Linked DNA regions of Schizosaccharomyces pombe. Changing the gene in region 1 together with any one later gene gives a genetic interaction. Each region holds a gene or a part of one and is shown in the gene's direction. Other genes may lie near its edges.

Region 1 (4,578 bases):
TAAGCAATATAAATGAGCAACTAATTACTAACTTTTTTAAGGTATTCCTTATTAATATAAAACAACCAGCAATAATAATTATTATCCGTTTAAGTACCTTGCAGCTAAGTTTATTAGATCTAATATAACGATCATTCAGTCATAATAGTTTCTTCTGCAATGTCTTTTTTGTATTGTAGTACGATAATTTATCACATTAACTATTGAATAATGAAACGCGTTTACAGGTATCGCATTGTCAAGTATCTGTTGTATATTTTAGCATATGGCAACTCACTCTTGTAAAGGCTTTATGAATGTTAATTTAAAAAAAAAACAACTTCAAATAACTAGGTATGTATTTTTGAGTCATTTGCTGCCTGCCATTTTTTACTAGGATATAAATAAATTATGGTAACTTTCCTTCTAACAAATACGAATATGAAGAAAAGATCAGAAACATTAGGCTCGGATCAATCTAGGTATGAAAGTAAAGGGAAAAATAATTATAAACGTATACTAATTAAATCAGCTCTGAAATAATTGAGCATGTTTTGGAAGAGTTAAACCTCAAAAACATTGAAAGACGCGTCAAAAAGTATGACCAAATTGAAAGCGAATACAAGACCAATATAGAAAATGAGAAAAAGGCTTTTATAAAGGATGTTTCCCAGGTTCAACAGAAAATGTACGAAAATAAAACGGTAATCCTGGCAGTCATTAACATCAAATTATAGAAAGGAATTTGAGATACAAAAAGCGAATCAAATTAAACAATTGAACGAAGAAAAGCTTTCTATAGAAGCTAGAAAACAACAACTCGAAATCGAAATACGCAATCAGTTGTTACAGTATGCCGAGAAACTGCGAATTGTTGTTAAAACCCCAATGAACCAACCAACAAATACAGAAGTATAAAGTCATTTTAAACACATTATATAAACTAGTGCCATAAAATCATAAAACGAATTAAAAATATGTTATGAGCATACAATTTAATTGAAACTTCAAACTTGAGAATTGAAAAAGTAAAGTGAGGCTAATCGTTTCTAAAAATCTAAATCCGTTCTTTTTATTAAACGCTAAAAAATGGGTAGTAAATGAAATGAATAAACACATAAGTTTTCATGGGAATAATTTACATGGAGGTAATGTTATAGTACTCCTGGACAGGCACGCTGGAGCGAAGGAAAGTCTGCAGCTTTTCATCTCCTTTCTGCAATGCATTCCTCTTTGCTTTATTTTCAGATATTAATGCAGCTTTCCTCTTTAAAAGTTCCTGCTTTAAGGTGGAAAGTCGTTGACGTTCTTTCAGTTCGTCTTCAAGAATCGCAAGCATTAGATCATGATCATTCGAACTCTTAAATTCCGGGTGTTCCTTCAAAAATTCTTCTTTTGAGACGAGTGGTAACGCTGTGTATATATGTCTATTAAAATGGTTAGAAAGAAATGAACAAAGACTTTTGAAATCTGAAAAAAAAAAAAAAAAAGGTAAGGAACTTTCACGTACTCCTTTTCTTCGTAATTTTTTATTATCGTTTTTAAATGCAGCTTTTTGTACTGTAACGCCTGAAGCCGTATACGGGCGTTATCGAGTTCAGACTTGTGTTCGGCTGTTATAGTCTTTGCTTGTACGAGCTGTTCGTAAGATTTTCTATTTGCTTCTCGCAAGATTAAGAGCTTTGACATTAACTGTCGTTTAATTTGCTCGGGATTTTGATCGTCGGCATCTCTGCTATGCTGTTTCAACTCATGAATTCGCAAACACAATGTTCGAGTTGAGTCAAGAACGTTCAAACAATCTGATATTGCATTTTCTGTCATTTTTACGACGAAATACTACTCTTTCTTGGAAATTTTGTAGGAGGAGGTTTCCAAATTGTTTAAAAGAGTAGACGTTTGGGCTTAACTCGTCAACTCAGTATAGCTACGCCTTTACTACCATAAAGGTTAACTGACTAAAACTAACTTCTTATAAGTTGAGCCTTGAATTTATTGTATATATTTGAGAGATTTTCGTTGAATGTCTTTTCAATCAGAGTTCTCGTAAAACTATTTTACTAAACATCAAATCACGTTTTTTTTATCCGTTGCATATATTCAACTTCACGGTTCGGTATCATTTTGATTGATACTGTAAACATTTGGAATAAGTGAGTATTTGGCTATTGAAGAGTCGGTAAAAAAAAGTGTGCTTTCAATGAAAATTAATCAAAATACTACTGTTGATTGCGGCAACTTGATTCTCGTGCCATATCAAAAATGCCATGTGTTAAAATACCATAACTGGATGAAAAATGAGGAATTGCAAGAGCTTACTTGTTCAGAGCCTTTAACTCTTGACGAAGAATATCAAATGCAGGCCTCATGGAGTACTGATGAAGATAGTATGTTATGATGGTTCAACATTCGTGATTGATCAATTGCATCACAAGTTCTAATCATTTTCTAACGATATAGAGCTGACGTTTATCGTTTTACTAAACGAAAACGATGAAGCTAAGAAACCTTCAATTTTGGATCATGTAAAAGCCCACAGCGTTGAATCAATGATTGGGGATGTGAACATGTTTTTGACTGAGGAATACGCAGACGGTATAGAAGAATTTGATGATTCTCCCAGTGATGCTAATGCTACCAATGCTACGAAGGAGTCAGAGGTACATATAGTAGGTGAACTTGAATTGATGATTGCAGAGCCTCAGAATAGAAGGAAAGGATATGGAACCAAGATTGTAGATGCATTTTTGCACTATGTTGAATCCAGTGGAATTGCCAAAAATAAGCAAATCCTTAAGTATCGAGTCAAAGTTGGCTCCCAAAACAAGCCTAGTATTCGGCTATTCAAGAAATTGGGCTTCTCTCAAGTTAAGTACAACGCTTATTTTGATCATGTAGAGCTTGAACTAATGAGGACTTCATAAGCGATGCAACAACGCTTAAAGTTATTTACTTGTTTACTTTATGCAAGTGTTACATGCAGCGAACTACTTTAAAAGGGTTTATTAAAAATTGTTTTCTACACAACCCTATGGCTAATTATACCTCTCATCTCGCAACAACAATTATTTACATACAGACCTTTATTTTATAATCGCGAATTGGGTCTGCTTATAAAATTCGTGAACAACTTGGATAATTTCACCGATTTCTACTCTTCGATTTTTACATTACATTACAAAATAATATGAATACAATCTTTATTGATCATTTTACTTTTGAAAAAGAAAATTTTTGTTTTTAACTGAATGCAAAAACCATGAGAGGTTTCTTTTTCATTAATCACTCAACCAGAAACTTTATGCCTTCTTTCCAACCTCAGTAACGGTCAAATCTATAGAAAACTTGTTAGCTTGAGTTCACTTATATGAACGATTAACTCAGAGCTGATCATTTGTTTCACGAATTATCAACGCTTTAGGAAGAATTCCTTCGCAAAATGCTTTAAGGAAATGTAGTTCCCTCAATAAAAAGTAACTGAGTTAATCTTTCTTAGTAGTTTATATAACATACCGGGAGGAAGAGATTGACGGAGCTTCTCAGCCTTCTTGGCGTCAGCGACAACCAAGGTATACAAGTACTTGGAACAACGAAGCTTGAACTTAACGTCCTTGTTAGTGTTCTTCTTGATGCGGGCAGAAGTAGCATCCTTTCTGCGAGCGATCTCCAAGAATTGCTTAATGTCACTGATTTGACGAGGCTAAAACATGCATTAGTCGATGGTCATTCCTAACACTGAATATATTTTACAGAGACAACTTTAACGAACGAAAGATGAAAACAGTTTTCTCTTCCATAAGCTGCTGAAACCTCTACTTATCTCACTTACCATTTTGTTGAGCTTGGTGAAAGACCAAGAATTCATTCTTTCCAGTTTATCAAAATTTCTGTGACTGTGTTTTACAACTCGAATGGTTTGTAACTCGTTAAAAAGAAATTACGAGCTCTTAATCAGCCGGTATTCGCTCAAGGGGATTAACACTATCCTTCACTATACTGCTTGAATGGGCGTTAGATTGAAGTTCGTTTTTTAAATTGCTTAGCTCAGGTATATACTAAGTGTACGTGATAATAAAATTAAAAAAAAATAGAATAAGAGATGGTCAATATTTATATCTTAATCTATAGTTAATACTTTAATTTTTCCATGCATAATGTTTTTGGAAATTGATAGATGAAGTGTAACAACAAAGAAATGTTTTCAATAGATTTACATATCCATTTGCTATATCTTTTACATCTTTCTATTAGGATCAAACGACTTTATGCTCTTCGTTTTTGAAAACTATATTACATCAATTGCGAAAAAATAGATTTTTACAATAAAATGCTTTCATCCTATCCAAATGTGGATCAAGGCTCTATCTGTCTGTCTACAAAGTATTAACAACATAGCAGCATTCTTGTGAATTATAAAGATAAAGCATACTAACTACTACATATAGAGGAAGTTTGATTTATATGAGCGTGCTTCTATACGAATTTTTTGTTCCACGACGGAAACGACTTTTAAATAAACTCATGAGAAATTCCAACGAAGCTTAAACATTGCCTTTCAAGTGTCAAAATAATTATTGCTTTCGTTCACTAAAATCATTA
Region 2 (3,825 bases), on another chromosome or scaffold:
AATCATTTATTATCATTTCATTTAGGTAATTTGGCAATAATTAAGTGGATAAAGTGTGGATGCAGGAATTAAGAAGTGGTGGTGTTCCTGCCTAGTGTATAAACTATGAGAAATCAGCACGATCCCACATCACGGTAAAATGTTGAAATAAGGCATATGCTAAGTACACATGATTTATTCGAATTATTCAGTAAGCATCAAATGAATCTTAGTTACAAACAGATAGCTAATATTTTTCAAACTTACGGCATTAAGAATTAGCGTTAGGCCAAACTGATATACTAACTACATTTAGTTACTACTTTGCTTATATGTACAAGCTGGTCAGTTATTTAAACATCTTACCATTCTGGAATTTGAAAATTAAATGTTAAGCTAGTTCAATTCAGAGTATGTCTATTCAGTATAACCTGTATTTTTTTAAGATTTTTATGTTTATAAAAAATAAAGATGTATCAACTGTCTTTTAGCTAACCTATTGTTGGTTTGTTTACTCACCTCAACATTATGGTGGCCAATGTGGGGGCCACGAACTTCTTGTTATTGATTTCCTGACTTGGCATTTGCATATATATATAGGCGTTGAAACATCTAATTGTACATTAGAGTCACCACTAGGGAATTGTTGAAGGTTTCTTGTACATAACCAAAAACCCCATAAAAAATTATATCGTAACTTCTCTTTTGTAATCAAGTTGACCATGAGGTCTATGAAACCTCCAGGGTTTTCATCAGATCTTATGGATGAGCATTCTGTCGACTTGTTGAATGGGTCCATTTTGGCAGCTGAAAATCCCTCTAAAAGGGAGGTAGCTCAAGATGTTCCAGGATTCGAGAGAAAGCCTACGAAAGTGAGAAAGCCTCGAGTAAAATGGACTGAGAAAGAAACTAACGATTTACTACGGGGATGTCAAATTGTATGTTAATTCAATACTGACATTGTCTTTTTATTAGTAATTGAATATATAAAAATGATTTTTTTTTCGAAAACTAACCGTCTCTAGCATGGTGTTGGTAATTGGAAAAAAATACTATTAGATGAACGTTTTCATTTTACGAATCGTTCTCCCAATGATTTAAAAGACAGGTATGCATGATCAAATTTTTTTCATTGCCTAAATCAATTGCTAATGGGTATATGCAAGATTTCGGACAATTTTACCAGAAGATTACAAAAAGTTTTATCCCAATGCGAAAACGCATATGGGACGGCCTCAAAAAATCCCTCATACGGTAGGTTTATCTAAATCAACTAGAAAGGAGAGAAAGCAATTTACCCCAGAAGAGGATGAGCGTTTATTAGAGGGCTTTTTTCTGCATGGTCCTTGCTGGACTCGTATTAGTAAAGATGCAAATCTCGGACTTCAAAATCGTCGAAGTACAGATCTAAGGGATAGGTTTCGGAATGCTTTCCCAGAAAGATATGCGGCTGCTGGATTTAAGCTTAAGAATAATCCAGGCAATAGATCGAAATATTATCAGAATAATATGGTAAATGATGCTACGACCCCGAACGATAGTTCTACAACGGAGGCAGCAGCAGCAGCAGTTGCTGCAGTGGCCGCCGTAGCTGCTAGTAATCCTAACGCATCACCACAGCAAACCACTGAGCAGCCAGCATCTGACGAGCTGCTCGATTGGCCACATCATAATTTACCAAGCCAATTTTTTACATCTCAACGGAATCCTAACTACTCGACTGATTCCTTTTTACTGGGTCAGTCATTGTCTGATCCCTTTAATCACACATTACAATCATTTCACCCTTATGAGTCTTTGTTTTCTGCAGGCCAACCTCCTTCATTACCTATATCCCCATCGACATCGCAAAACTCGGTCCAACCATTTCCCTTCTCAATTCAACAACCTCCACTTCATTTGGAGCCTCCCTTAAGTTCAAATACGCTTAACTCGTCTACTCTGCCGCAGCCGAATTCCACTGATTTCAATACTTTTCCACCTTTGCCCTCGACTCCTAGAATCTCATCCGAGGATATACCGTGGGACAACCGGGGATAGTGATTTAGTACCGTCCTCATTATTTCCTTTCATCTCTGACTCACAACATTTATCCATCGCTCTGCATGTCGTTATTCATTTAAATTTTGTTTTTGTTTTTTTAAATATTTTTAGTATTTAAATATGAATGTTCTTAGAACTCAGAAATATTGGGTGAATCAGTTCGCTATCAATTTCGCTTGCAGAAATACCTACGTTAATCCTATGTTTTTGCGATATTTCCATTGCGCTGTTCCTCGTGCAATAAGTCAAAGGGCATTAAAGCCTATGGATATACCGTTTTTGCGTATGTTTAGTGTATATAATAGTGCTGACTCTATAGAATGTTACATTGAACCTATCGATAATACATCATTTTTCTTGCATCCTTTTAAAAAAATACGTTTTTGGTGGAGATATTTGTTCTACGGTTGGTGGAATTTAAAAAAAAATCAATTCTTGATTAAGCGTACCTTTCCTGACCGTGACTTCAGCATCGCCGAAATTATTCAAAATGCTTTAAAACTTCATTCTGGTGTCAACAAGGCACTTGCTAAGTACGTATTTCTGTAACGTTAATATTGGTTTGCTTTTTTTAGAATTTCCGTTAGCCATTAAACTTATCACATTTCAGTTTTGCTAACTTAGCGTTGTTAAGTCATGATTTACAGCAATTAGAGGAATTATGTACCTTGAGAACTGCTCAAATATTAAAACAACAAGCTCTAAACCAGCCAAAATGTATATGGAAACTTGAAAAGCACATATCTAAGCCTAAGCTACTTAATTTGAGTCGTGCCCAAGCAGATTTGAAAGGCGAAGAATTTTTTGTACAAGCCGTCGTACGGCTGCATACCCTACAATCTTTACGAACGGATAAAGGCTCTCCCAAGATTGAAAAGCCAGATATAGAGAATGTTGTTATCCAGCAAAGATCGTGGACTTCTCCAATTAGATGGCAATTGTGGGGGTCTGTTCCATCGACCCCGGTAAACACAGTAAGAAAGACATTGCCTGACGGACAAGTTACTTTTGTTGCTAAGCCGTCAAAAAAATCGTTTTTAAAACAACTCTTCTCCGGAAAGGAGTAGAGGATTTCTGCCCCTACAATTAATCCATCGAGAACAATTTAATGACTATATTATTATCCACTTAGGTGAAAAAGTGTTTTGATTATGAGATTTTTTTTTTCAAAGTCTTAAAGCTTTATTGATAAAAAAACCCGATAGATTTATCGTAAAACTATAATAAATAAGCCGCAAAAAATATCCATAAACTTTATAACATGAGAAGAGTCGTACAGAAGCGCTAAGGCAATTCTGTAAATCGAAAGACAAGTATTTATACATACATACATACATACACATGTAAACAAATCGTCTAATTCACAGATCGAAAATTTGCATTCAAATTTTTTAAAGGAATCAAGCATACGAAAATGTAGAACGGTTTCGACCGTTTAGGCCTAAGGCAGCACATCCCTCGTAAAACAGATCAAATTTTTCAGAGCTGTATCCAATATAGTCAAAAGAAGAGGTACCAATAGGAGGGACGGTAGAACCTTCAACCAACTGTTTTTCAGGTCGATCCGCAACTTGGCTGGAAACGCTTAGATCCTCCCATTCATCATCTTCTTCCAAGCATTGTAAAATTCCCCACAATGCCCACCCGATGTTCGCAGCAGGACTAATTGCGCGAACAGATTCTTCTAAGTTCATAATTTGCTTTTCAAACGTGTTCTTTAATTCGTCGGAAATATCAGTTTTCAACAATGAAGCATCTTCAATTTCGAGTAGATCATTAATGACAGCGGATTGCTCAACATAT

The links. Genes that interact genetically often act in the same process or in processes that back each other up.
Region 2: mutations in SPOM_SPBC577.03C (region 1) and mba1 together harm fitness less than expected from each alone (positive genetic interaction), as found in Schizosaccharomyces pombe (one large-scale study listed by BioGRID).

The regions. Positions count from the first base shown.
Region 1 is NC_003423.3:753,885-758,462, reverse strand, and holds SPOM_SPBC577.03C (GCN5-related N-acetyltransferase), read left to right. Parts: upstream 1-1,894; 5' UTR 1,895-2,179; coding exon 2,180-2,366; exon of another isoform or gene 2,367-2,439; coding exon 2,440-2,903; 3' UTR 2,904-3,278; coding exon of another isoform or gene 3,279-3,313; 3' UTR 3,314-3,492; coding exon of another isoform or gene 3,493-3,679; 3' UTR 3,680-3,808; coding exon of another isoform or gene 3,809-3,811; 3' UTR 3,812-4,052; downstream 4,053-4,578. Other genes in the region: 1-phosphatidylinositol 4-kinase Stt4, read left to right, coding at 42-55; meiotic recombination protein Rec27, read left to right, coding at 421-461, 512-667, 717-897; tho5 (THOC5-like protein), read right to left, coding at 1,118-1,406, 1,490-1,803; rpl3801 (60S ribosomal protein eL38), read right to left, coding at 3,279-3,313, 3,493-3,679, 3,809-3,811.
Region 2 is NC_003424.3:2,313,045-2,316,869, forward strand, and holds mba1 (respiratory complex assembly protein), read left to right. Parts: upstream 1-2,056; 5' UTR 2,057-2,142; coding exon 2,143-2,305; intron 2,306-2,341; coding exon 2,342-2,555; exon of another isoform or gene 2,556-2,656; coding exon 2,657-3,089; 3' UTR 3,090-3,325; downstream 3,326-3,825. Other genes in the region: teb1 (Myb family telomere binding protein), read left to right, coding at 702-917, 1,005-1,087, 1,146-2,019; eki1 (choline kinase), read right to left, coding at 3,423-3,825.